Rattus norvegicus: one gene and its partners. The protein of the gene in region 3 purifies or fractionates together with the protein of the main gene of each other region. This does not show direct contact. Links are inferred from orthologs where the notes say so. Each region holds a gene or a part of one and is shown on either strand. Other genes may lie near its edges. The genes, in order: Eif3j, Zc3h4 and Csnk2a2.

The links.
Region 1: the proteins of Csnk2a2 (region 3) and Eif3j purify together in Homo sapiens (affinity purification with mass spectrometry; 5 studies listed by BioGRID and IntAct, counting the BioPlex papers as one, with this or other methods). This does not show direct contact. The link is inferred for Rattus norvegicus from reciprocal best matches to the Homo sapiens genes CSNK2A2 and EIF3J.
Region 2: the proteins of Csnk2a2 (region 3) and Zc3h4 purify together in Homo sapiens (affinity purification with mass spectrometry; 3 studies listed by BioGRID and IntAct, with this or other methods). This does not show direct contact. The link is inferred for Rattus norvegicus from reciprocal best matches to the Homo sapiens genes CSNK2A2 and ZC3H4.

The regions. Positions count from the first base shown.
Region 1 is NC_086021.1:129,435,759-129,443,100, reverse strand, and holds the start of Eif3j (eukaryotic translation initiation factor 3 subunit J), read right to left. Parts: upstream 4,387-7,342; 5' UTR 4,291-4,386; coding exon 4,245-4,290; intron 4,162-4,244; coding exon 4,058-4,161; intron 1-4,057. UniProt on the Homo sapiens protein: Component of the eukaryotic translation initiation factor 3 (eIF-3) complex, which is required for several steps in the initiation of protein synthesis.
Region 2 is NC_086019.1:86,259,665-86,266,906, reverse strand, and holds part of Zc3h4 (zinc finger CCCH-type containing 4), read right to left. Parts: intron 3,568-7,242; coding exon 3,209-3,567; intron 3,034-3,208; coding exon 2,654-3,033; intron 1-2,653. UniProt on the Homo sapiens protein: RNA-binding protein that suppresses transcription of long non-coding RNAs (lncRNAs). LncRNAs are defined as transcripts more than 200 nucleotides that are not translated into protein.
Region 3 is NC_086037.1:9,559,878-9,567,219, reverse strand, and holds the start of Csnk2a2 (casein kinase II subunit alpha'), read right to left. Parts: upstream 4,881-7,342; 5' UTR 4,505-4,880; coding exon 4,401-4,504; intron 4,394-4,400; exon of another isoform or gene 4,251-4,393; intron 3,754-4,250; coding exon 3,642-3,753; intron 1-3,641.

The DNA of each region.
Region 1 (7,342 bases), on a different chromosome or scaffold from region 3:
AAAAAAAAGAACCAAAAAAAATTTTTTCAGCCTAGCATGGTGGCAACACACTTGTAATTCCAGCACTCAGAAGGCTGAGGCAGGAGAAGCTTGAGTGTTCAAGTCCAGCCTAGTGTATACAACCAGACTGCTCCTCCTACTTCCCAAAAAAAGGGCAGGACTGGGGAGTTCACTTGGTAGAGTGTCAAACCATCCTGAGTTCCAACATTGGAAATGCAGAAACCAGGCACAGAGCACATAGCATAGCACTTGGGAAGCCAAGAAACAGTTTAAAACCACCCTTAGTACACAGTGAATTAAACACTATCCTGAGCTACATGATACACTCTTTTAAAGAAAACAAAACAAACAATTGCCTATTTTCTGGCAAAATTGTTACCTGAAAATGTAACCACATTTTTCTCTAAAATACAGATCTTGAAGTGGCACACACACATGTATGTAAAGAACTTGGAAGGATGAAGCAGGAAGATCCAAACTGGAGATCCTCCCCGCATATAAAATATAAAAAATAAACAAAAATAAAATAAATATAGATCCTATTCCTCAGAAGCGCTAATACGTGAAAAAAAGATGTCCTTAACCTGGAAGATTTACAATATTAATCTGGATAGATCCTTAAAGTAAATGAGTAAGGCACAACTGCTTACTCCATAGTTTTTACCTGGGTCAGTCCTCGGAGACCTGTGTAATAAATTCTACAGTGCAACTATAGAGACACATAGCTGAGGGCTGCAGATGTAGTTCAGGTGGTGGCTTGCCCTGCGTTCTATCCACAGGGAGGCATAAACTGAGGGTAGCTGTACATGCCTTCAAATGTCTGTAGGCAAGGTCACAGAATTCAGTTGGCAAAGATGGTGAGGCCAGCCTTGGGCCAAATGATATCCTGCCTAAAATAACTAAACATAAAAACAGACAAAAACAAAACAAAATGCCTGAGATAGCTGAACACAGCCAGAAGTTTCCTCTAAAAATCTGTATACCTTCTGAATAAACCTGATTTGCAACTTGTTAAATTGAAATTTTAGGGAATCCAGTAAAATGGTTTTAAAGTTGCATTGTCCCTGCTTTCAGTAGGCACTCAATCCTGCATCTATATCTGTACATCACTCTAGTCATATACACAAAGTAAGAACTTCTTCCGCTACTTCTGCATATCAGAATAGTAAGAAAAAGTCTAAGGAAATACTAAATACAAATAGAGATATACACGCCTTAGTTCTCAAAAAGAAGTATGTCTGCCTATCTGTGGACATGCATATGACAGTAGATCTACAAGGACAGAGATACTGGATGTCCTGGAGCTAAAGCCACAGACGGCTATGATGTAAATGCTAGGAATCTGACTCTGGCACTCAAGAAGAGAAGACTGCTCTTAGGTCATCTCTCTAGCGACTAGGTTTCACCTTTTTACTGGGAAAAAGTCTGTCCTCCATGAATATTAAGAGATCTACAGGTTACGTCCATTTTTGCCACTGCAAGACAGCTACTGAAAAGTCAAAAAGGTTAAAAAGAACAACTAGGGCGAGTAACTAAAACAGACACTATTATTAAAATGGTAACTTATAAAGGTCAAGCGCGTGATCCTTGATAAAAGAATACTTTCTACAGTTTTGCCATAGAACTCTCTCTCTATGGCCCTAGTTGGTCTTAAACTCTTGGACCCAGCTGATTCTCCTCCAACTTCCCCAAAGTGCTAGAACTACACTTGCCATCCCAACAATCTATTTTTTTTTTTACTCACATATTAAATTGTTTAAGAACTACAATTTTTGACTTCATGAAAACTAAGCCTTGCACACCACCACAAAATGATTAAACACTAAAGTATCAGGATTTGGAAGTTTGGCAACATAACTCATTGCTATGCAAGGTGACAAATTTCAATTCTAACAAACTTCTGAATGGGCAAAAACTTGATAACCATGATCCATCCTCCAATAAAAACAAAATTCATAGTAAATAGACACTATAGAAAAAAATCAATCCTTCTGGCCTTAGGAAATGATAAAATGTGACATAAAATAAACCTCAGATATTTAGATTTTAACAGCCAAACTATTTCCATTAGGATAAAAGAAGGAAGACATCAATGAAAACTAATATTTTCTGAATACCTACCAAGTGCTAGGTAGCCCTGCTTAATGCTCATTTAAAAGACAAAGTAATTCTGATGGTGGTGTACTCCTTTAGTCGCAGAACTCCTGAGGCAGAGCCAGGCAGATTGGTGAGATTCAAAGACTGCCTGGTTTACATAGTCAGTCCCAGTCTCAAAACAGTCAAAAAAACAACAAACTATGTAATGCAAGTCTCATTATGATTATTTACATATTGAGAAAGTGTAACTAGAAAATGCCAAGGTAACATAATCCAGTCTGATTCTAAAACCCAGGAGTCAAAAACTGTGGTCTTTATGGTAACTTACTTCTAAGTCTCCCAAAAATTAGCTCTTACACTTAGACTTGTGGGTCTCCAATGACCCTTTCAGAGATCAGATATTTACATTTCAACTTATAACAGCTGCAAAATCAGTTATAAAGTAGCAAAAATTAATAATTTTATGCTTAGGAGGGGGTCACCACAACATGTCAAATACAAGTTAAAAGATCATGGCACCAGGAAGGGCCAGAATTACTATTAATTACTGTTACGTGGTTAAGAATTATAAACATCAGGGTTGGGGATTTAGCTCAGTGTAGAGCACTTGCCTAGCAAGCGCAAGGCCCTGGGTTTGGTCCCCAGCTCCAGAAAAAAAAGAAAAGAAAAAAAAAAAAAAAAAAAAAAAAGAATTATAAACATCAGGATCGACACCACTTAAGATTCCATAACCCCAGGTAGATGCTATCCGGCATCATTACAGACATCTTTAAACTTTAAACTTTAAGCTTTCTGGAACTTATTCCCACTTCCTCTGGTTCCCCACCCCCACTCCTGTTTTATTTTGAATTTATTCCCAGCCCTTAATTTTAACTTCTTTAACTTTATAGGATGTCCTAACTTCTACTTCCTAGGGAAAGTGAAAAATCAAACCTGAAAATCTGCTGTGAGATGTGGTGGCAAATCATGCCCAAGTGTATACATACACTAGGAAACAAAGCATGCAAGTGGCCAGTCATTAACGCTACTTGTCATTATTGACTTCAGTGTATACAAAGCTCTCTCCATTCCTCAAATTCAGGCCAGCTGGTAAAGTGGGCATACACTTCAACAACAAACTTCAGGATGAAGAAGAAAAATCCAAACAGTACATCTGAAGCTGTAGGATGAGCCCCTAGGAGTTTTTAAAAACAATAAAGGTGAATAGGACTCGAATCTACATGATGAAGAAAAACAAAACCAGTGGCCCCTGGTTTATTTACCACAACAACCAACTCTGGTATTTTTCTAGGCCTGTCGGTCCCTGTGTAAATGAATACCTGTTAACTCGGTTTTTCACAGTTCAGTTCTGTCCACTAACTCGCTGGTTATCTCAGTGCTCCCAGTTCATCCTTCTTACCACAGGGTGGGGGAAGGGAGAGCTAAAAGTTGTTTTACTGCTCCAATTCTAGGTTAGAAAAATCAATCTATTTTCTCCATCTAATCGCTCGAACGAAGCTACCGGCCTTCACAATCATACCTAAGTTACTGACACATGGGAGACCCGAACTAGGAAAGTCGGGTCTCACGACTTTCCATATGGGGCAAACACTGAAACTGAGTTCCCGATCTGCTCGGCTTGTTTCGGCGACAGGTTCTGGACTGCGAAGATAGCACGTGGGCCGACCGGACTGCTGCTGTCACTTCTTGTCGCCAGTTAGGTTCCAGGCCTGAGAGCAGACCCTCGGTGAAGAGCTGGGGCCCAGGCGGCCACCACCCTCCGCAGAGTCAGGCCGGACAAGCTGCCGCCTGCTACCCACATGGCCGTCCAGCTGAGGGAACCAGGGAACCAGGGAACCTTTGGGCCGACGCTCACGCGGGACCCACGGCCCGCAGGCCCGGGCGGCGCCCCGGGGTCCCGAGTCTCCCCGCCCGCAGCCAGCGCCCACCCGCGTAGCCTGGCGCCCCGGCCCGCACCTACCTTCACGTCCTCGTCCTCGTCCTCGCCTTCCCAGCGGTCCCCGCCTGCTGTGCCGCCGCCCGCGACCTTCCGAACCGGGTCCTCCATAGAGAACGTGTCCGCGTCTATGGAAGAGAGCGAGTCGCGTTAGTACACGCGTGGGAGCGGGGCCTCCACAGCCCGCACTCGGGCCGGAACTTCTGCTCACCCCAGGAGTCTGAGTCCCCCGCTGCCGCCGCCGCCGCCGCCGCCATCTCGATCCGGGGGTGAGCGTGTGTGAAGGGAAGAGCTGCGAAGAGTTAGCGCGGCAGAGGTGAGTCACTGGGCTGGCTCTCGTTGGCCCGCGCGGGGCAGGCTGGGACTGTGGCTGACTGGGCGCCTGGCCGAAGCTCCGCCCCCCCGGGCGACGCGCGCGGCGGGGCGGGGTGGGGCGGGGCGACGCTGGGCTAGGAGACGCGGACCAGCCCGGGCCTCCCCACCTCCCCCACCCCCGCGAGAAGGAAAAGGAAGTGCGCACGCCTGAGTAGGGCGGTGCTGGCTTGGCGACCAGATCTTCTATTGCTGGTAGACTGGGAGCCAGCAGAAACTCAGTGAGAAGGAAGTAGGCAGGGCTGTTCTCCCGAGGCCTCCTAGCATTTGGGCACGGAGATCGAAGCCTACCCCAAAGTCTCCCGGGTTTTCCCTTCCCGTGGTCACCCGGAGCCTAGCACGGTGATTCTTTGGCGGAAACATTTCGGAGTTCCGTGCCAAGGCATATATTCTAGTTTGTCCTCAACACAGTAGCAAAATAGTTATGTAAACAGATTTCGGCACAGTGCAATGGCTGCAACAAAAAGAAGCATTATGAGGTTAGATGTAAAAAGGTAGCATTAACGACGACGGAGGTTGCAGTTTCCTGCCCGCGGTAGGCACTGATGAAGTTGGAGTTTGAGAAACCAAGTGACTTGTGCTCTGGTGCATTTGTAGTAGAGAGAAGTCTTGTGGTGCTCATCTGACTGAGTACAATCGAACAGGTAAACTGATAATAAAGAACCTAAAAGGAGCATAATTCTTTCTCCCTTGACACTGGGCTTCCTTATAAGGACGTTAAGGGACGAGCTAGTTTAGATATTGTTTAATTTTCCAATATATTCATAGTTTTTAAAGTTTTTTTTTTAAGACAAATTTCTCTGTGTAGCATTGCTGTCCTGGAACTCACTCTGTAGACCAGGCTAGCTATGAACTCAGAAATCCACCGGCTGGTGCCTCCCAAGTACTGGGATTAAAGGCATGAGCCACCACATCTGGTTTAATTTTTAAAGTCTTGAAAAGATATTATTGACCCAGATCAGCCATTCTCTTACTAGTTTCCGTTTCTTGCGTATTTTTCGTCTACAAGTAAACATTTTATAATGTGATCTTTCAAGAAATGTTCTACAGCATTAAAGTGAGAGGCAGCGCTCTATAAAAAATAGAAAGCATCCATTTATAATTTGGCAAAATACCTAATACATAAGTACAATCAAATAGGATAAAACCAAGAGCCTCTGCATTCCTTGCATTACCACTGAGCTATGTGATTTCCAACTTGAACGAATTAAGTGAGAAGAATTCAAGCCCAAATTAAGCCAGAGACAAAGGAGAGGAAGGAACTAGTCTGAAAACTAAAGGTCAAAGGCAATAGAACTTAGTGATTGGAATGGTTAATTTTATGTATCAGCTTGACTAGACTGTGGTATACATGTTCACTACTTTTTAGTCAAACACCAGTCTAGTTGCTGTGAATGTTAGGTGTGATTAACGTTTCAATCAGTAGTTGAGTAAAGCATTGTAATATATGTTGATCCAGCCATGAATCCGAATTAAGACCATAGGAAGGAAGACTTACGCTTCCAGACCACAGGGTCAGATGTCCCTTGGATCTCTACCCTGCTAGCTGGCCCTGAAGATTTTGGATAATTGTTTGATCTAAGTTCCTTAAATTCTCTTTGATACACGCATCCCATTTCTCTGTTTCTGTGTAGAGCCCTACTGTAGGGACTGAATGTGTCGAAGGTCAGAGGAGGTTAAGTGATGATGACACTCACTGAGCTGCCCAAATCAAGACCTAAGCGCTGTCCCTCAGTTCTTGCCCTCACTGACCTCCTGAATTCCATTTTTTACCAAGGTTTGTAGCTCTGTTTCCATTGCTGAAATTGAAAAACTACTACCACCTGAATCTTCGTTGTAATCTTCCAACAGGTGGTCCCTCTCCCATTTCTTCCTCCACAGCCCATACCCCACACAAATAGTGTGCATACTTAAAACTGCAGTTTATACCTGCTGTGGGGTGATTCAGCCCTGTATTCCAGCACCCTTGATGCAGAAGCCAAAAGATCCCAAGTTTGAGGCCAGCCTCTCTGAATAAATAGTAAATAACATTGCTTCCTTCCTGGTAAAATCTCTCTTAATGACTTCTTATTTTTAAGAAAACCTCAACTTTTTGGCCTGGGGATATGATGTAGTTGGAGAATACTTACTCACCATGCACAAGGCCGGAAATCCAATCCTTATAAGTAATGCATGGCACACGCCCGTAACCCCAAGAGGTGGAGGCAGGAGGATCAAAAAAGAAACTACATAGTAAGTCTGAGGGTGGCCTGGGTTATATGTGACCCTGTCCTAAAAGAAAAGTTCAGCTTCTTTTCCTGGTCAATAAGCCCTTGCATAGGCTGTCCTACTTCCTTCAGACATTTGCCAGTCTCCTTTCCTTATTATCTTTTTCTCCCCCTTCTTTCCCTTCCTCTGCTGTCTCTCCTTCCCTCTGATTCCCCACCCTCCTTATTCCCTTCATTGCTGAGGCTACCTCTAGGAGCTTTAGAGTCGATAATATTTCTGCCTGTGGTACTCTGCCCGTACTTCACATGAATTGCTTCTCCTCCTTCACAGTAAAGCCAGATGTCCAGTTTACAGGAATCCCTTCTGTAGGCTGGGCGTGAAGCTCAGTTGGTACAGTGCTTGCCTAGCATGCAGAAGGCCCTGAGTTTGGTCCCCGTATAAACAGGGGGACACACGTGCTCATCTGTTTTCTGGGTCTTTCATCACATTCCTTCTGTGATGACCCTGTTTTCTATCTGAGCATGTGTCTCTTGCCTGTTTCCCATTGTTAAGACGTAGGGAAGGGGGCATGAAACAAGGTCTTAGACCTGGAACTAGCTAGGTCATTGTTGACCTCCACTCTAGATTCATCCTCCTGCCTCTGCTCCCCAATTAGATGAGATGGGGTGGCAGACCTGTGTGCCAACACATGTAGCTCTCTATTTTCTTTGCTGCTGTATTCCTAGTACT
Region 2 (7,242 bases), on a different chromosome or scaffold from region 3:
TACACCTCAGGCTATGGATGTCAGCACACTGTGTGCATACACCTCAGGCAGGATGTCTGTGGACAGGCCATACCCCTCTCAGGCTAGGTAGCTGCTGCTGTCCTCACAGGAAGCAGGCTTGGTTTATCATCTGCCATGAGTGGTCTCATGGCTTCTTGCAGGTACGTCTAAGTGTTTGACACTGTAATGTGATACTGTCATCTACCAAGTTCATGCTCGAGAAAGCATGTAATCAAAGAAATAATCTCATACACACAAAAACAAAGGTCCTAATTTTGTTTGTTTTTGAGGAAAGAGCTCACTACGCAGCCCTGGATGGCCTGGAACTCTCTAAACAGACCAGGTTGGCTTTGAACTCACAAGGATCCACCTGCCTCTGCCTACCGAGTGCTGGGATTGAAGGCGTGAGCCATGATGCCCAGCATAGTCATAATGCTTAATTAAGTTTAAGATTTTGTGTTGTGCTGCATTCCTAGCTTCTCTCAGCTGCATGCAGTGCCTACCCTGGAGGTTAGATATACCTGTAAGAAAGTCACTGCATCTCCCAGGAGAGAACGAAACACACTAAAATCTCAGTCCAGCTCACGGCATCCCCCCAACCCTTCCTCTCAGCGTCCCTGGAGTCACTGACTGCATGAGGCAGCTTCCCTTGCACGGCCAGAGCAAGTCTCTCCTCCCTCAACGACCAGGTCCACTACGTATAGCAGATACAACACCACTGTCTCACTGAGTCCCTGGATCGTAGGGTGCTGAGCTAGCATGCCCAGGTCTGTCAAGAGTCAACTGTCCCTTGCACATGTGACATGACTTTTATCCAGCTAGGACAAGATACCGAGCATCAGAGATGTGGTTCATGCCACCAAAGGAGGTAGTCTGGTATTTAAATAGAGAAACTGGGGCCCAGGAAGATGGCTCAGTAGCCTACTGTCACACAACTGGATCGCCACTACAACCTGAAGCAAGGCAAGCCTGGCAATGGCCCAGCAGTCAGTACTTGGTGAGTAGGCGGGTGTCCCGGTGCCTAGAGAGCTGTACTAGCTGAAATGGCAATCACTTAGGTTCAAATGAGTTCTGCCTTAGATGTACAGTGATAATACACAAACAGGTCAACTCGGTCTACGCACACTTGCATACTGCTATGTGCACCACCACCTCACCACCCCCCATATATACCACAAACTGCAAAACTGTAAGACCTCACAGTGAGTGAAGGTGGCCTGAGTTTTGGTTAGAGCCTAATGGGACCTCTTCTATGCTACAGCTCCTCGGGAGCTGGGACACAGGCAGAGGCTTCACCTCCATAGAACATCAATCGCCAGAAGGCCAAGTAAATGTACAGAAACCACAGCAGCTCTGTGCTGTAAAGAGTAGTTCCTGGAACTCACATTAGAGCTCACTTTCGCTGTAGAGACACCTATCATCAACAAGCAACTAACTCAGGCCAGTCAACAGCATCTCCCTCCATTTGTTGGTCTGCCTTTTCTAGCATCTCTTCAAACCCACTCTTTACCATGCATTGTGGATGCTTTATCCCCGCACCCCCGCACCTCCCAGGCTCCTTGTGCTTTGAGGCAGCAGTGATCCTCACATCCAACAGAACAGCCTGAATGTCGGTGAAGGCCTGCCTATACTTGGCGCCCATCCTCCTAGCTGCTCCTTCCAGCCCTACACAGCACATACATACAGGTCACATTGGCTCCAACGTGCCAGTCCCAAACCCCGTGACTCATCTCTGTATCCTTGGCTACCTCCTGGTCTCCACCTGGATGCACCTGCTGTCAGCAACTGCACGGGAACCCGGAAACTCCCACCACTGTTCTGGCTGATTGGCAGTCTCACTGTATCCTCCCAAGCACTGGGAGCCACAAGTGCATGTCCTGCTGCCCTCTACTGCTCGGTAGAGCGGGCGATACCACAGTGACACACACACCTGCATATGTTAAGATGTCGCTCTCTCACTCCTTTATAGATGCATAGCCATCTCTATCTCTGCTGTCCTCAGATAAGCTGGTCAGCTATGGCACCTGGTTACATTCTCAGAGATGCTTCAGATGACTGTCCCTGCTAGGGCTGTGGCTCTGTACAGTCCTATGCTATTTTCTAACAATGGCTAAAGCTAAAATGAGCCATCCGACTTCTCTCTGGTTTGCTCTACTAAAATGCAACTATAGCAAGGACAGAGACCACGACTCTGAGCTTTGGCCTGGGGCAGGTCCCTCCTCCTCCTTGAATCTCCCACAGCATCTATCCTTGACTATGCTGGACACCGAGGTTGCTAACATCACAGGACACAGGCAAGAACCTGTCCAGTCAATGGTTTCAGACAGGCAGAGTTAGTGAGCCCAGCACTACCTGGAAGAGGGGCCCTGCCTTCCTCCTGATGGTGCCAGGCACACAAGCACAGCCTCCTAAGGCATTTTTGCCTTGCTCACGATTGATGCTAGGCCCTATGAGTACTGTTTCCTACACTGACAACAAACACAAGAGTCCTCCAGCCCCCATAAGGTCAAGGGCCCCCTAATATTTAAAACACCTATAGACTGGGAATGGAACTGGAATGCTGCTGTAAGACTGGCCAAGGAAGAAAAGTCACTTCTGACCTCCATCCCACCCTGGTGAGCCCAGCTCTGCAGTCTAGCTGTTGCCTACATACCTGCATCCCCAACAAGACCCGGCTCCATTTCCATGCCCTCTTGCTGCGGGTAGAAGTTCTCATAGAAGTTCTGGGCTGGCGGGATAGGAGCCATCATTCCAGAGTGTGGGGAGTCTCCAGGACCATAGGGCATCATTGGGGGGCCACCAGGACCCATGGGAGGGCCAGGGTTCATGCCAGGACCCATTGGCATGTCAGGATGCATGTCAGGGTGCATGTCGGGGTGCATATCGGGGTGCATGTCGGGGTGCATGTCGGGGTGCATATCAGGGTGCATGTCTGGGTGCATGTCAGGATGCATGGGCCCCCCCATTGGCCCTGGGGGTCCCATGTTGGGGCCAGGACCCATTGGCCCTGAGGGTCCACCAGGTCCAGGGAACCTAGAAGAGGAAATGGTTCTTGTGATGAAGCTGCTAAGGAAAGGCAGCAGCACCCAGCCAGCAGTGCTCACTTAGAGCCTGGGGCCAGGAGCCCAAATGGGGAATGACAGCTTCAGAAGGACAGAGCCCTGCCAGGCCATGCGCCTGTGCTTCTAAGGGCAAGCAATATACTCACCTCACGCCCAGTTTCTCAGCTAGCTGCCCTGTGGGTCGCACCACAATCTCAAACAAAGAGGGGATCTTCTTGTTGTACATGTCCTGCTGTAGCTGCTGTGGGGACAGCGGTTCATGTGCTGGCATGGCCATTTGAGGAGGCCCAGGAGGTGGGGGAGGGGGTGGTGGTGGAGGAGGAGGGCCACCTTGCATGGGCCTGCCGTTAGGAGAGGTGGGGGCTGGGGGTCCAGGGGGCCGTGGAGGAGTAGGCAGGAGCCCCACACCAGGAGGTGGCTTAGGCAAGGGGTTGATGCCCTGCTTCTTCAACTCTTCCACCTCCTTCTCATCCTCAGCACCTGCTTCTGCATCATCAGCCAACATCTGTGGGAAGCAGAGGAAGTCACATCAGAAGACTCTACTAAGTCAGACTCAATTTTCTGAGGAAAAACTTAAAACACACACCTGCTGGGGGCCTTTAGAGCACAGGGTCTAGGACCTAAATTCATCTGCTTCATCAAACTGGGCATAGTGCTACACGATTGCAATCTTAGCGTTAGGGATGAGGAAGCAGGAAGATCAAGTTTGAAGGTAGCCTCCCTCCTAGGCCTCTAATGACCTGAGACAGATTTTTCCAGCAAGGTTTCAAATCACAGTGCACTTCTCTCTACCAATGATCAAGTGTGAAAACCTAGTCAATTTCCTTAATAATTTGAGACAGCTACCAAAGAAGACAAGCCTGGGGGGCTGGAGGGATGGCTCAGTGGTTGGGAGCGCCAACTGCTCTTCCTGAGGTCCTGAGTTCGGGTCCCAGCAACCACATGGTGGCTCACAACCATCTGTGATGAGATCTGATGCCCTCTTCTGGTGTGTCTGGGGGCAGCTACAGTGTACTCATACAATAAAATAAAATCTTAAAAAAAAAAAAAAAGACAAGCCTGGGGTTCAACACTAGCAGGTACTGCTAGTAACAAACTGGATGAAAGCAGTCTTGCTGGCACCCACCTCAGCACCCTTAGGGATGTCTTCTAACATGGAAAGCTCTACAGCTGGGCTTCTGTCTTCCCTATGTGTGAAGCCTTTTACAACCCAGACCCTACAGCTTAAGGAGGAGCCTGGTCTTCTCATCTGAGCCCAGTGACATGAACAAGGCAGACACACAAGGACATGACCAGAGGATAGAACATAGACTACGCACCAGCAATTTCCGCACAAATGGAGGGAGCAGACAAATATCCGTCATTATACTCCCTTGCAGCCTTTCCATACATGGCCTCTCTACTAGCAAGGACCACTGCTACTAGGCTCTTGTTGAACATGTCTGCTAGGACTGAGCTGTGTCACCAAACCTTTTATTACAGCGGATGCCAGAATCCAAAGGTCTATCGCCTATGTAAAAATGATCATCGTCACCAGTTACGGCAGCACACGCCTTTGATCCCAGTACTCTGGAGGGACAGGCAGGATAGTATCTATGGACATAAGGTCAGCCTAGTCTACAGACTGAATTCTAGAACAGCCAGGGCTACAGAGAAAACTTGTCTTCAGACACACCAGAAGAGGGCAACAGATACCATTACAGATGGTTGTGAGCCACCATGTGATGAGAAAACTTGTCTAAAGAAAAAAAAGTGACTCAAACTTGCATGCACAAATAAGGTAGCTGTCACAAACTTTAAGCTTTTGCCCAAACAAGAAATATACAAATGGGGGCTGGGGATTTAGCTCAGTGGTAGAGCGCTTACCTAGGAAGCGCAAGGCCCTGGGTTCGGTCCCCAGCTCCGAAAAAAAAAAAAAAAAAAAAAAAAAAAAAGAACCAAAAAAAAAAAAAAAAGAAATATACAAATGTATTTTAACCAATGACTGGATCAACAAAGCTAACTTTATCAGCTGAGGAGTTCAACCTGGCAGGCAACTGCATTGAACTACAGTTGCTATAAGCAGATCAAAAGTGCCCTATGGCATGCACAAGGCAGACACACACCTCTAGCCTACTTTATTCTACAGTTCTACCTAGAAGACACTTGTTTTCTCCAGTGATGATGGGGATCAAACTCAGGGCCTTGTGAATGAGAGGTATAGGCTCTCCCACCTGCTCCCCATCCCTATGATACCCTGCAAAAGCAAACTATAGGGATACAAATCATACAGGGATTCCAAGTATTGGGATAAAGTGTGTGTGTGTGTGTGTGTGTGTGTGTGTGTGTGTGTGTGTGTGTGTGTGTGTGTTATGTCTAGATTGTACAGAGCAGAGATAAATCTACATGTTGGTCAATACCCACAGATCTGCTGGGCAGAACTTGGTGGTGTGTATGCTTGTAATCTCAGAACTTGGGAGCTGAAGTCAGGAGGATCATGGGTTTAATAATGACTGTAGATTGTAGTGATTTCAAGGCCAACCTGGACTACACAAGACTGTTTCAAACAAAAACAGCCAGTCCACCTCAGAGAAGCTGAAGCTCTGCCATGCAAGGGAGAGACCAGGCACCTTCCCCTGGGGTGAGAGCTATCTTCACAGACTTATAAAATGTTTTCTTTTTGCACTTCAGCATAAACTCGGTACCGAAGCATCTGTACCTTCTCAAATAGCCATCCAGGTAACAATCATGGATCAGGTCATGCCAATTAGCCGAGTCAGCAGTTTGTGAAGAACGTAACTGTGCTGGTAGAAGATGCACTAAAGCCGACAGACAGGCTTCCAGGAGACTGTTGCCAAGGTAACAGCAACAGGATCTTTGATCCTGGAAAGCTTCTTTGTGAGCCATGTGTGATGCATGTCCCTATTAATGACATAATTGTGGGTGGCTGGGAACTTTCTCATTGTGGGAACTAGTGAGCAAATGAGGGTGTGAGAAATTCAGGAAGTGGGGGTGGGGATTTAGCTCAGTGGTAGAGCCCTGGGTTCAGTTTCCAGCTCCAGAAAAAAAAGAAAAAGAAAAAGAAAAAAAAAAAAAAAAAAAAAAAGAAGAGAAATTCAGGAAGTAAAAATGCCCGAATATTTCGTGGTTTTCTCTCTTTTTCTCCTTTCTGTTTCTAAAATAAAATAATTTCTTTTTTTTTTTTTGGAGCTGGGGACTGAACTCAGGGCCTTGCGATTGCTAGGCAAGTGCTCTACCACTAAGCTAAATCCCCAACCCCAATAAAATAATTTCAAAACATTTTTTCCTTAAAAAAAGAAAAGGAGGGGTTGGGGATTTAGCTCAGTGGTAGAGCGTTTGCCTAGCAAGCGCAAAGCCCTGGGTTCGATCCCCAGCTCTGAAAAAAAGAAGAAAAGGAAAGAAAAGGAAAGAAAAGAAAAGAAAAGAAAGAAAGGAAGGCAGAGTGAGTCACCCTAGCATGGTGGCATACATCTTTGATCCCAGAATTTAGGAGGCAGAGACCAGCCTGGTCTACAGAGCAGTTCTAGGACAGAGAAACCCCGTAAGTTGAGCACTGAGAAGAGTAGGTATGAAGAGGCCAGCATGGGCCACAAAGCAAAATTGTCAAAACAAAACAAAAAGAAAGGGGGTGGGGCTACTGCAAACTTAAAATAACGGGAGATATGGTGGCACACACCTTTAATCTCAGCACTCATCCTGATCTACATGGGGAGCTCTAGGACAGCCAGGGCTACATAGAGACCATGTCTTAAAACAAAACTAAACAAACAAAACAAAACAAAACCCCAACCAAACTTCAAAAAATAAAACAAAGCTACAAGAAAAACTAGACTGATCCAGGGGCAGGACTGGGCTCCTGCTTTTAAGTGTGAACACTGAACCTCCAGCAGGGGGCGTCCTTTAATCAGACACTGCTGGTCCTTCCAGAGAACTGACTGGATGCTGATCATCTAGTTCGCTTAGGCTGATAGGCTCCCAAAAGGAATGACAAAAGAAAGCACCCCCACTAACTGTACCAATCTGGAAAAGAAAAACAGACACCAGGATGAGTGTCAAATGGCACCTGGTTTGTGAGATCCTGGTCCCACTTCCTTCTCTGCTCGAGTCCCTGTGACTACAGAAACACTGGCATTTCCAATCTCTGGGCATCTCAGTCTCTCTACACAACACAACACTACAC
Region 3 (7,342 bases):
TGAGTCTGTGATCCTAAGGAAATCAGTCTGCACTCTACAAGGTATATTCTGTGATTCTGCTTAGCTCTCTACGTACGTCCTTATAATGTCAACGTTACATCTAACTCTGGCCAGTTCACACACAATTTCTAACACTGTATGTTATTAATACCCTTTAATAATCTCTCATATACTATGAAACATTTGCTAAAACTAGAATTCACAAAAAAGTAAAGCTTATTAACATGTCTCTTTATGGAGATATATCAGTACGCATGCTTAAATGAAGTAAGAGACCTACCCTTAGACAGAGAGGGCCCAGAGGAAGGAGCATTTCATCTTAAGACACAATCTTTGGATATAACAAAGGTCATCAGCCAAGCATTAAATCACTATTAAAGAGCTGTAATCAATGCCAATCTTCCTTTTAAGAACACAAAATTTTATTCTTTTTTGCCGTGTTTTGAGGTGGAAGAAGGGTAAGGACGAGATCCAGGACCTCAAGCTTGCTAGCTAGTGCTCTACCAGTGAGCAACCACCTAGTCTTACCAACACATTAAACAAAACTATGAATATGTTAGACATGTTTAAGACAAATTTTAATACTACCATTGCCTTACTCAAGAATTTTGAGGGTTGGGGAAGCGCAAGGCCCTGGGTTCGGTCCCCAGCTCCGAAAAAAAGAACCAAAAAAAAAAAAAAAAAAAAAAAAAAAAAAAAAAAAAAAGAATTTTGAGAGAGGAACGCAATGGACAGCCATTTATATGTTTATAATGTAAAATAAAGCTGCTAACAGGAGCCTTATGTGAGAATTTCTAAGTCACTGCAGCACTGGTTCAAAACACTTTGGTTGTTTTTAAAAAAAAAAAAAAAATAGTATTGCTCTTGACAAGTACTCAAGAAACAGCAGTTTAATTGAAAGCTCTTGAGGACCCCAGGAAGAGCTGCCATCCATGCACACAAGCCGTGCTCACTGATGCTTTAATCTTACTTTGGGCACACCTTTCTAAGTACTAGAGAGGAACAAAAGAATCAACTGCTTTTGACACTAAAGTAGCCTTCTACCTTGTTGCATCAATAAATTCTTTAAAAAAATCATTTCCTTTTCTCATTAACACAATTTTTTTGGACACCCCCCAAAAGAATAAAAGGCATGACTTCTCTATTCATTAGAAAGTTTTTAAGATTTAACCTCAGACCTCCACACATAATTCACTTTTTCACAGACACATTAAAGAAGTAAGAGTATTACCTTATTAAAAAAAAAAAAAATCACAAAACTTTCACTAGCAGCTTTTTAAATTTATAAAGCCCTCTAATAGGCTCAAACATACCTCGACGAATCAAATACTTAGAGATCTTACATGCAAGATAAATGAAATAAAAGCCCTCCATGATCACTATGCATCCAATTGTGGCAGAATGACAAAAACTGTTATGAAGTGTCACTAAAGTCTGTGCCCTGTGTCTCAGTCACCAAGTGCACACTCGTCCCCCCTGCAGGTTAACTACTACAGGCTTGTAAGAGAAGCAAACCTTTCCCAGACTGCCCCAAACTGAGCAGCTAGCACTGCAAAGGGCTTAACTTCCTCTAACAAAACATCACAATAGTAGGCATTAGTCCTAACTTGAACTTATTTGAGTAATAAGCATAACTTTTGGATAAAGTCTCTGTTCTTTTTGAAAAATAATACTTCAAATCCATTATAAGAACAAAACCACAATATTAATTAGGGGTTTCTTACTCTATCCTTCAAATATAAATAAAATCTATACAGAAATGCCACAGGACTTTGACAAAGGAGTAGAAGGGTTCGGACTGCCCTCTGAGAACCAAACACCTCATGATCTACAGCATAAAAAGGGTTTCCCAAACCTCATGATTGAACCCTGAAACTTACTGTGTTCAGTGCTAAGATCCTGCAGCCCAGTGCTGAAATGAACACTCAGAGGTATGAAGAAATCGGAAAGAAGAGTTTTGGCGAAGGGCCATTTCAAACAGCACCATGGCAGGTACGTCTCTCTGTACCTAGGCTATTTGTAAAAATAATTTAAAGCAGCTTCCATACTGGATGTGGTAAAATATATGCAGAGACTCTTCAGAGCAGAGGAAAAACTATCAAGCAACCAACCTCTGAATCTTTACGAGAACAATCAAAAACTAGTAATAACTATGCTTCTCTAAACACTGGGACTCATAAACACCTGAGCACTGTTCCCTTCAAAACACACCTCAGGAAGCTGCACTTAGTCTATTGCACAGACATTGAGACATTTCCCTTAAATTGCTTTAGACGTGGCAAATTCAATCCTCCAAATGTACAACGGAACATGGATGTTCCTGACAATGCTTGTTTTGCTTATTCCTTAAAGGGAAAACATCTGAAGTAACTTCTATTCAAAATGCATTTATGTAAGTAATGAAATTGTATGGCTTCCTCCAGCAATGTTTCCCTGAAGGAAACATTTCTCTGCTTAAAACACACCCATCCGTAACTACACACCTCCTATGTACAAGTCATACTTAGTGGGCCAAGCTCCCTGCCTTCCACATCATTCCTTCCTCCTCGTACCAGTGCCTTGGGCAGCAGTGGCAGCATCACCGGCCTCAGCAGCAGTGCTGCTCCTTGTCACTAGGCTAGGATGGTAAGGAACGTTAGCAGCAGCTATTTTTTTTTTGAAAGATGATTTACACGATGCTAAAATCTACACTACAATTAAATGAGGACTGCCCTGAGGCATGAGCTTTTCAATCCATTTTGTTCAGGGAACCTCCACTGGGCACTGTGAAAATCAGGTGAAGTACTACCACTCTCCAGCGGTCTTTCTTTCACGAGTGACACACATACATGTTAAGTGATCTGACAACGTGAAGAACTGCTCAGATCCTAAGGGGACATGCATATGCATTAAATGACCTGACAACCATGAAGAACCGCTCAGGTCCTAAGGATCACTTTCTTGTACAACCTACAAAGCACTAATTAATCTCCAATCACCTGTACAGAAACTTGGCTGACTCTTCATGCTCATTAAGATCATGTCTTCATTTGAGTGATAACAAAAGCCCTATCATTATCAAAGTGAGAGGGCTAGTCTTGCCACTGAGACAGTTTTGTTCCGGTTACTATTTCAGGGGCTAAAATGTACTCTTCTGTTGCCCCGAATCTCTTTTAGTGATGGCTTGCTATATCCAGCCCACCTGAAACTTTACTTCTAAATGAAACAAAACTATCAACTGGGGGGAGTTGCCCTGCATTTTTGGCTTTAAACTTATCTCTGAGAAGACCCCAGTTATGTTTTGTTTGGACAACTTTCTTTCTGGAGTAACTGGGAGCAGAGAGTAACTAGTACATTTTAGGAGCCCTACACGGACATGATACATGCAAATGCTTTTCTTTCTTGCAAACATCTCTTTGTTTCATATCAGATACAACCCCTCTCACATATTTGTTTGAGAAGTTCAGAATTTACACCTTAAGTGTTCCTGACCTATCAAAGTCAGCGTTAAGACCAGCCTGCACATTTTCTCAAAAGCTCACAGGAAAAATGGGGTAGGAGTGCTGCAGAAGATACACAAGAGCTGGAGCCGCTTATTCTGGAATAGCTGGTCCTTTGGCCCTGTGGGGGTAAAAGGTTACATGCCGCTGTAGTACACTCACCTTGAGAATTTTTACAACCACCCTCTCATTGTTGGTGATGTTAATGGCCTCAAATACTTCACTATACTTGCCCCGACCAAGTTTTCGAACCAGTTGGTAATCATCTTGATTACTGTGAAAGGCAAGAGATATTGTACATAAATGCCAGGATTTGGGATTAAGCAAGCGTATGTCCACTATACATCCATCCACCAAGTCCAGCTAATCAAAGTATTCCTGACATCACACCTCGACTCATTCTCTAAATGAAAGCCACACAGAAGCTTGGCTCCCGTCATTCTGCAGAGCTCTTAACCTCACTGACTCTAAGCACAGGGAGAAAAGGCAGCTATGAGGCCTTATGAGCCCTGTTAAGTGGACTGAGCAAGGTATCCCCCTGGTAGTACTGGGGTGCCCGCCTGCCCGGGGCTCCACAGCACCTGCCTCCCATTTTACACCCTCTAGGGGGGCCATGTTCAAAATGTTCCTCCCTCCCAGCCTCATTTCAGAAAGTAAAAAGGTAGAGATTTTAACAGCTCAAGAGGACAGACATGGACTTCCCATCCCATAGGAAGCCCAAAGTGTGAGGAGGAAGGGCCGCCCCCACCCTGACCCTACGCTTCTCCCCACCGGCTGCTGAGCCGGGGACCGGGGACCGAGGCCGGGCGGACAGGAGAGGCCGGGGACACGTGCGGCCGGGGTCGGGCCTCCCTGCCAGCCCCGAGGCCGAGCGGCCGGCAAGGTGCGGTTCGCGCGGGGGGCGGCCGGCGGCGGCTTTACCCCCAGCTCGGGACGTGGGCTTCGTAGTCCCAGTACTCGCGGCTCCTCAGGCTGTTCACCTCGGCGTAGACCCGGGCCCGACTGCCCGCGGCCGGGCCGGGCATGGCGGGCGGGACCGGGGGGCGCCGCGGGGCGCCGAGGGCGGCGGCGGCGCGGCGCGGAGCGCGGGGCGGCAGGCGCGGGAAGCGGCGGGCCGCGGACCGCCCGAGCAGGAGGAGGAGCGCGGCGGCGGCGGGCGTCCGCGCCAGGCCGGGCCCGCGGGGGCGGGCGGACGGACGGACGCTCGGGCCGGGGGCGCGGGAGGCGCCGGCCAAGCCGGCCCGGGGCCTTCGGCAGCCGGCGGGACGGCGGGGTTCGTGCTCCGCGGCGGCCTCCGCTCGGCTCGCGGCCCCCAGAGGCGGTGGTGGCGGCAGCGGCAGCGGCAGCGGCAGCCACCGGCCGGGAGAGGGGCAGCGGCGGCGGCGGCGGCGAAGAGGGAGGAGGAGGAGGCGGAGGAAACCCGGAAAAGGGGCCGAGCTCGCCAGGAGCGGCCACCGCCCAGCCCCAGCCCGCCCCTGCCCACAGCGCCCCCTACAGTGCCGGGGGACTGTGGCCGGCGCCCGCCCCCTCAGCGATCTCGCCACCCGCCAAGCAGAGTGGTAGTCTGCCTGCCCACCCGCAGGTCACCCCTTAGGAGCCCTTGCCCTCGACTAGCGCCGCTTTTAGCATCGCCCCTCAGTCCAGTCACCTCGTGTCAACCACCAAGACCTCCTATACTGGCCCTGAGCTGATTTGCTTTAAACCCAAGAATCCTCACCTCAAACTGTCTCCCTTCCTCACTCCTCTTTCCCCCTCTAGACTCCACCCTGCTATCCACAGATTTCCCCGCCTTCAACCCCAAGAGGCAGAGAACTTCCATGCAGAACCAGTCTACTACTAGATCTACCCTATCCTCTCAGTTCCCCGTCCAATTCCCCTGGTAGCCCACTGAGTCATCTTTTAGGCTACTTGGTTAAACTAGAGTCCGCTGGGTAGTTTCCCCATAAAATTATTGGTTTTTTTTCCCTTTGTATTGAACCAGTCGTTTGTGGGACATAATTTAAGACTGTAAATATGCATTTTTGTTTATTTGTTTGAGAGGAGGGAGAACTGGGGAGTGAGGAGTTCGGCCTCGAAGGAGAGACTAAGGGTTGGTGAACATACAAGCTTTGAACAGTCTTTGATTTCCTGGGGTCCCTGACTATCTTGTTCTCCTGTCCATATTTTTTTTTTCACACCAGAAGAGGGCATTGGATCCCAATACAGATGGTTGTGAGCCACCATGTGGTTGCTGGGAGTTGAACTCAGGACCTCTGGAAGAGCTGTCAGTGCTCTTAACCTCTGAGCCATCTCTCCAGCCCCCTCCTGTCCATTTCTTTATCAACAAGGATCTCCTCTCCCAACCCAGGTTGTTCTGACTTCTAATTACCCCCACCACTGTTTTCTAGATGAGACCATGTTCCCTCTTTATATACCTAACTATCCGGGTTCAAGTCCCAGTTCCGTAGCTTACAAGTGATGCTGATTTGAGCCAATGACCCAACGTCTCTGTGCTTCAAATTTTGTAGCATCAACCCAGCACCTATGTCACAGAGCTATGCAGAGACTTAAACCATGTAAAGTGGGAGTGCTCAATATTAAAACACTACATGTTCATGCTGCTATTAAACGCTATCACCTTTCTTTCCCTGAGAGCATCACATGTCCATCTTCAGTTCCTTCTTCTCTCTGAGCTTGGCCAGGGGGTACCTCTGCCACCCCACAAATGACTGGCTTTTTTTTTCAACTCCTTAAAGGCCACTTTCTCTGAAGTTGATACTTCTCTCAATGACTCATCCACTTGACATGAGTTCTCTCCTGGTTTACCATCTGTCCCCTTCCTGTGAAAACAATTTGAAGGCATGGCTTGGGCTGGGTGGTCACCACCAGGTCACTCAGTGCCTGCTGTAGCTGGAGGCCTTCAATCAACATGGTGCTACTGCCCCACAGATATCATGCTGGTTACAAAGGGGACCCTGAAGGTCAGATGCAGGGACGAACTGACCTGTGTGATTCATGGAGAAAGGACACACCACTTACACCTGCCAAAAAAGTTCTACCTGCATCCAACCAGACACAGCCAAACTGAGGGGTGGTTCAGCAAAACATCCAGTCCACACTGCTAAAAAAAAAAAAAAATAACAGTGCCACACCAAAAAGAAATCTTGAGGTGCTGCTCTTGATGAAAGGGAACTGAGAGCCACCCCTGAGACTGCACACTACAATCCTATCTGAGTAGTAGATTGTGGGTTCAAAGCCAGCCTGAGCTACGTAGTAAAATCTTGTTTTGTTTACTTTTTTATGGGGAGAATGCAGTCAGGTGTGGGGGCATTTTGGTAACCCTGGTACGTGGGAGGTCAGGACAGGCAGATTGGCATGAGTTTGATGCCAGTGTGTCTGGACTGTGGAGTGAGACTTGTCCAAAATAAAATAAAATAAAAACCATACACATTTTATTGCTCGGAACTCTGGAAAGCCATGCACACTATTTCTACTGCTCTTATCATTCAAAATCAACAAAGAATGAATATCTTAAAATAAGTCATGGGTCAAGCCCGGTGGAGTAGTGCATGACTGTTATCCTAGCTGTCGGGAGGCTAAGGTAGGAGCATAGCTTAGGTTCTGTGATGTGTTTCAGGCCAGTGTGGGTTATGTAGACCCTATTTCAAAAACAAAAGACAAAAAAAAAAAAACAAAACAAAAGCGGGAACTCTTTCTGTGTGTGTGTGTGTGTGTGTGTGTGTGTGTGTGTGTATGTGTGTGTGTGTGTGTGTGTGTGTGTATGTGACAGAGGGATAAGAATACAGCTAATAGGACACTCACTGGGGTAACTTTAATATGGGGTCTATATTATATAATACCAATGCTTTAATGTTAACTTGAAG